Linked DNA regions of Arabidopsis thaliana. The protein of the gene in region 2 interacts with the protein of the main gene of each other region in a pairwise test. Each region holds a gene or a part of one and is shown on either strand. Other genes may lie near its edges.

What was found.
Region 1: the proteins of HSP23.6-MITO (region 2) and AT3G56360 interact in a two-hybrid assay, tested with the Arabidopsis thaliana proteins (one large-scale study listed by BioGRID).

Annotation. Positions count from the first base shown.
Region 1 is NC_003074.8:20,894,673-20,898,301, reverse strand, and holds AT3G56360 (uncharacterized protein), read right to left. Parts: upstream 1,971-3,629; 5' UTR 1,662-1,970; coding exon 960-1,661; 3' UTR 555-959; downstream 1-554. Other genes in the region: AT3G56350 (Iron/manganese superoxide dismutase family protein), read left to right, coding at 2,677-2,986, 3,092-3,138, 3,226-3,351.
Region 2 is NC_003075.7:12,915,118-12,918,620, reverse strand, and holds HSP23.6-MITO (mitochondrion-localized small heat shock protein 23.6), read right to left. Parts: upstream 1,696-3,503; 5' UTR 1,533-1,695; coding exon 1,334-1,532; intron 1,197-1,333; coding exon 763-1,196; 3' UTR 511-762; downstream 1-510. Other genes in the region: AT4G25210 (DNA-binding storekeeper protein-related transcriptional regulator), read right to left, coding at 1-175; QWRF7 (QWRF motif protein (DUF566)), read left to right, coding at 2,620-3,312, 3,390-3,503.

The sequences.
Region 1 (3,629 bases), on a different chromosome or scaffold from region 2:
ATACAGTATATATGTCATTTTCATTTATTGGATTATTTCCAAAAAAATCCCAAAAAGGAACCTTGTATAAACCAAAAAAATAAAAAAATAAGATTGTGAAATGTTAAAAAAAAAATATATATAATGGTGATCATAATTAAGCCATAACTTAAGAGTCTTAGATGGTGATGCCAATAATTTAGAGGTGGTTGATTAAGTGTAATCATTCACTTCCGTAAGTCCGATCGTGAAATGTCTTGTGCTGCTAAATGTGTATCGCTTGTCAAAGTCATAAACAATGAAACTCCTTGGCCCCTTTAGATTAGCTTATTGTATGTCATTTCAATTTATTGGATTCTTTCAGAGAATTCATAAAAAAGAAGAAAATAAACATTGGATCATTCATAGCCCATAGGAACAAAGGCCTATACCTTCCATATATTTACGGGCCTTAAAATCTAAATCCAATATCCAAATCCATATAAATGATCCAATCAAACAATCCATAATTTTCCATCACGACCATGTTTTATTCATTTTCTCTCTTTTCCATCTCCGGAGATCGACTCCGGAATTTTCCGACGGAGGTTATGAACTCTAATGCAACTTCTGGCAGTATCAGCTATAGGCTTTGCACTATGATCACTAACAGAAGTTTTAAATCCACCTACACTTTTGCTTATTGTGGTGTTAATGAATGCATAATTGCATATAGATCTTACACGGATTAAGTTGTCTACTTGTCTTGATTCAAATCCTCTATACTACAATAGCAACAAAACTAACAATGTTCTTTGATTAAACAAATCACTATAACCAACCAACTTTGACCATTTTATTTACATTTATATCACCAATCCAAATTCCTAAAAAATGTTCTGTATTAATAACAAATGTAATTTGATCATCCATAAGGGTTTCATAATCAAAACCCAAAGAGTATAAATAATTTACAGTGCAAATCCTTTGACAATCACTGCTCATTGACCAGTCTGCACCAACCACGAATTATTCAACTGTGACATAGCCGTTTCCCTAAAACTCTTGACCTTAACCAAACAGAAATGGGTGCAAACCGTACCCATACCCGACCGGACCCGGGTCGTTTTCAATAGATAACAAACCGGCCCAGTATCCGATCCTCTTCCTTGCGCCACAATCCCCCACGCGCTTGTATCTTCCCCACACGCGCCACCATCGTGATCATCATCATCTGCTATGTCACCGTCTGCGAGCTTCTCCACCAATATAACTCCTTCCGGCGTCCTCTCTTCTCCTCTACCCCACTTTCCTTCCATCTCTGTCCAATCCTCCGCCTTTGGATTCGTTGCCGTCGTCGTCAAACCACCATTAGCCTCCGCGTATAAATGCATCAATAACGGCGACTCTCTAAGATTCTTCACGATCTCAACCACCGAATCTCTCAACCACACATCTAGCTTCTCCCTCGACACAACAGATCCACCGCGTTTCCTTCCACCGATCCTTTCAATCTTCACCGCCGCAGACGGTGGTGACAAATCCTCCATCGACATCGAAATCTTCCCGATCGCACACATATTCCGTCGATTCGTCACTGGAACAACACATGACGATCGAGAATTCAAATTTAACGTGCGACGATCACAACGAACGGCGCATGCACTTCCTCCTCCGCAACAAATCCTCGCAGACGTCGCCATCTTCGCCTACCGGAAGATTCAATTGCAGAGACGAATAGGAATCGGAGAAGATATGCTGCGATTAGATTGGAGATTGCTTCACGCTGACGAATTCTCTTATAGAGTCAATCACACCAATGGTTGCTTTTAAGAATACGTTTTACTGACGCAGCCACACACAATCCAATGGCAATGATGAATTATTAAATACCTAATTTTTTTATTTCTCCAGCACGGAAGTTGTGTAAGTTGTTTGATCGGACGGTTGAGATTTAGAGATGGTAGAAATCGCGTTTATCTTATTCTTCACGTTATCCTCAAAAGTCTGAGGTGGCTTAAGTAGGTGATTATTCCCTGTAAAGTGTTGACGATATAGACTAATTAGATATCAGATATGGACCGTTCGATGTAAATCTAACGGTTGCTATTACGTGAAGCCGGTACGAGATGGAGAACGTGGCGACGCGGTTTAGCTGTGTGCATGGCTTGGGCGGGCACACGCTGGTACTGGATTTAAATTGTGGTGAACACGTGTTATCTCTGTTATTTATAATCTAGACCATAAGATACGCCACGTCAGATTCCACGGTGGACAATGTCTTTTAGAATAGATTGGGCCCGTCGTTTTTTATTTTTGAGGAAAGTTTCGGCCTTTTCGGTATGGCCCAGACCACTAAACTATTGTTATACTTATGTGCGTTGATCTTTCGCATATAAGGATTGGATCATTGGACTGAGGTTTGGAATGTTAGGTGCGTTTTACGTTTCTCCTGCCATAAACTACACAAAGACAAAAGCACATGCAAAAACAACATAAATATGCATCAACCTAAGGTTGCGACACAAATCGAGCAACTATGCAAAACGCTTAAAGCCATGAAGCCTTAGAGATTGACAAGTAGATCAGTCAAAGTTTACGTGGCTTAGTAAAATTATATACTTTTGTTTGCTAAGAAAATACTTTTATATACTTATCTGAATAAATCCACCTCTCGCTTTATTTCTATTTTCTAGTGTCTACATATATAAAAAGATCATGACGACCACCGTTATTATCATTATCTTCGTTGCCATCTTCGCTACGACTCTTCACGACGCCAGAGGAGCAACCATGGAACCGTGTCTCGAATCAATGAAGACTGCTTCGCTTCCTGATCTTCCGTATGCTTATGATGCGCTAGAGCCAGCAATCAGTGAGGAGATCATGCGGCTACACCATCAGAAACACCACCAGACTTATGTCACTCAGTACAACAAAGCCCTCAACAGCCTTCGTTCTGCCATGGCTGACGGTGATCACTCCTCCGTCGTCAAACTCCAAAGCCTCATCAAGTTCAACGGCGGAGGTCAAACCCTAGCTTTAAACGACTAAGTTCTCATTAAATTCTTCCGATAGGTGCTTGTTGATCGTAAGGATTTTGATTTTTTTTTTTCTGTTGCTTTGCTTGTAGGGCACGTTAACCATGCAATCTTCTGGAAAAACCTAGCCCCGGTTCATGTACAAAAATGTTTTTTTGTCGTCACTCCATGTGTCTATTTCTGATGAGTTTAATTGTCTCTTCTAAGGGGTCAAATTGATATATAGGAAGGAGGTGGCAAACCACCGCATGATCCTTTGGCTTCGGCGATCGATGCTCATTTCGGATCACTAGAAGGATTGATCCAAAAAATGAACGCGGAAGGCGCTGCTGTACAGGGATCTGGATGGGTGGTAAGTTTTTTTTCAGAATCTCATTAACAATGTTGGGAACACAATTATTGGTTTTCAGATGAAAGTTTATAAAAATTTCTGACAGAATATCAAAATTCATTTCAATTTGAATTGGATATGTGATGTATATAGGACTCTGTTCGAAATGAAATTGAAAAACATTAATTTCAAAAAAGGTGTTAAAAAGGAAAATCTAAACGGGACAATAAGTTTGGTTAGTGTATAGTGTAGTATTAGAAATATCTATAATTTCATTTTTGTTAATAAACAGGAACTTT
Region 2 (3,503 bases):
AACTGGACTCCGATTCAGATTCGCCTTCAGAGTCAGATTCAGGCTTTTGCGAAGACTCGACTTTCTTCGGAACTTCAGCAGAAGATTCAGATTCTTCTCCAGATGAGCCAGATTCTTCTTCTTCACTGGAAACAGGAGGGCTTTCGACCACTTCCTCCGCCTTCTTCGGTGCCATCGAACAAACAGTTACGAGAGAGAGAGGAGACAGAGATCTGCGGTTCTATTTTCCCGTCGCCGTCGATTTGCTTTGCTCTTAGGTTTAGGTTAATGTCGAGGTTCTGTTTTTTGTTTTTTGCCCTACTTTTGTTTTTTTAATAAAAGTCGATCGATTCATTCAAGTTGGGCTGTCCAACGCGCTATTCTACTCGAACGGGCCTAACACTTTTACGCGTTATTAATAGACCAGTCCGTCGACAACTTACGCAGCCTCAGAATTCGTCTTAAAGTCTTCCTAGTTCCTAGTCTACAGAAAATTTTAAACCCAAATACGTTCCATAAGCTCCAGTCTCATAACCACAAAGGCATGTAAACCGACCGAGTTAGCTAAAAGAATACACGATTAGGAACTTATTTAATTAGTGCTTTGATTTGGAATGCAAATTTTGGTTTAAGCAAGACAAAAAACCACCGTCTCAAGAAAGAAACATATAACCTTTTAGTCTTTAGAGACTACATGACTCAACATCGACCGTGCCAAACTACACACACTTCTTATTCAAAGACCTATCAACAAAACTAGAACAGAAAAAAACGTCGACGTTTTTAGTTGATCTCGATCTGACGAACATCATTTCTCTCTTGTTCTTTCATCTTCGGGATCACAACTTTCAACACTCCGTTCTTCATCTCCGCCTTAATCTCATCGATCTTGTAAATCTTATCCGGTAATCCAATCCTGCTTGTGAATCTCCGATTACCGCTCTCTCCTTCCTCGCCACCATCTTCCTCGTTTTTTCCTTCTCCTCTAATCACCAGAGTGTCCTGCTCCAAAGCCAGCTTCACATCCTCTCTGCTCAGCCCAGGCATGTCGATTCTCAGGTACAGAGCATCGTCTTTCTCTTTTATATCCCAACCACGACGAGCTCCTGAAGCTCCCATGCCACGAGTAGCTGATAACAGAGGATTCTCCATGAACTGGTCCATCAGATTCAGCACTTGACTAACGCTCCTCGTCGGCGAAAACGGATCAAACACATCTACACAAAGACACAATCAATCATGTCAAGATTTTGAGCTCAGTGTAAGCTAATACCTGTTTTCTTACTAGATTTTCGCTACGTTAACAACAGAGAGACATAGATCTGGAGGAAAAGCGAAACAATTGGTTTGTTACCTGAGAAGAAATCACCACGGCGGCGAGGAACAGAGCGGCGATATAAATCAACGCCGTCTCCATTTTCGCCGTCGTCGTCGTAGCTCCTAACGGCGTTGGTGTTGAAGAGGCGAGAGGAAACAGCTGGACGAAGAACACTACGGGAACGTGGAGCGATGGAGGATGATAGGAGTCTCTTAAGAGCGAGAGCAGATGCCATTTGTAGAGAAACAGGAAGCTTTGTTGAGAAAGTTTTAACAGTGAGTTTAGTATTTATCTGAGAACTGTGTGCGACGAAACTGGAGACAGGGGAGGACTATATACAGGAGTTAAGTGTTGAAGGTGGGATATTGTCAGTGAGTGAATGTTCTGGAGAAGTGGGGAGATTGATATTTCTCTGGATGTTTCTAGAGATCCGTGGCTCCCAAGCTAAGTGAAACAAATATAAATTGTCTTGTTTATTAACGGGCTACGGCCCATCGGTATTAGGCCTGTTTTAGTAGATTTATGGTCAACAAGTCAAATGACCCTAGAACATGGTACATGAATGAAAAGGACCAAAATGTGGACAGAAATCAACCAAAGGCCGAGGCGGCCACCAACCACCGAACGTGGGAAGGTCTGGTTCGGGCAAACATTCGAAAAGACCAAGAAGACTCGGATAAACAATTAAAAAAATCAGATATTGGAGAAGGCAAATATATATTGGTGTTGAGGTCAAGACTTAGAGTTTTGACGTTATTTAAAAAAAAATATTTTTGGGTAAAGACTAAAGAGTTTGACGCTATCTTGAGGTTTATTTATTCAACGTAGACTATATACTATGGGGCCGTTCTGAATTGGACCTTTTAAGTTTTGATTTTATTAAAACGCCATGTTGTTTAGTCGAGAGATAAACAAAAGACGTGTCTCTAGCTAAGCTGACCTTCATATATGCTTTGACATAATACATTAATTATAATCTCTCTTTTTGGTGTGTGTAAAAAATACACTCTATATTTTATTATGTAGACACACTACATGCAGAAGTGTTCTTACCTCTGCCTCTACGTGCTGTCAACTCCTACAGATCTTCAAGTACCCCAACCGTTATCTAACAGATTAAATATAATATACCCCTAACTATATTATATATCACAATTGTTCAAACCAGTGTATATAGACTAGACGATTCCTTGAACCATATAATTCCAGCTTTACTATAAGAGTCTTAAGGACAGGGGCAAGTGAGTCGAGAAACGAAACCGAATATAAGTCTTGTATGATATAGTCATATAGTTAACCGTCGTCATATATTAAAGAAGAAAATGGCAACCACCGGTCGGAGACTCCGTCCTCCATCGCCCAATAATAACCGGAGCCGGACTATAAGCTCTTCAATCTCTCTCCCAGTGTCCTTAAACGCCTCGTTATCGTCTTCTACTTCTTCATCTTCTTCCTCTTCGCCTTCCAATTCAAGCAAACGAGTGATGATAACCAGATCACAGTCCACAACAAGATCCTCCAGACCCATCGGATCATCCGACTCTAAATCCGGCGAGAACATAATCCCGGCGAGAAACAGCGCATCAAGATCTCAAGAGATAAACAACGGTAGAAGCAGAGAGTCGTTTGCTCGGTACTTGGAGCAACGTACGCGTGGTAGTCCTCGTAGTAACGCTTCATCGAGAGGGGTAAAGCCGGGAGCCAGCTCACCATCGGCGTGGGCGTTGTCTCCTGGAAGACTTTCGACTATGAAGACGCCTCTGTCCAGCTCAGCTCCGACGACTTCAATGTGCATGACGCCGCCTGAGTCACCCGTAAGCAAGGCCAAGATAAGAAGCGGTGGCGGTGGAGCGGTGGCAGGAGTTTTGAAGTACTTCATGGCGCAGAAGAAAGTATCTCCGGTACAAGAGGAGGATTATCACCGGTTTAGGATTTTTCAAAACAGATTACTTCAATGGAGGTTTGTTAACGCAAGAACTGAAGCCACTATGGCAAACCTTAAGATCAACGTTGAGGTACAAAAACTATATGAAAAATATTTAAATTTGTATCTTATAAATATCTATTAATTTGTTTCTGTGAATGGTTTCAGGATCAGTTGTTTTGGGTTTGGCTTAGGATATACAAAATGAGGAACTACGTTGTAGAAAATTTGATTGAAATTCAAAGGCTCCGTCAAGATATCAAAGTACGTGAAGTTCTCAGC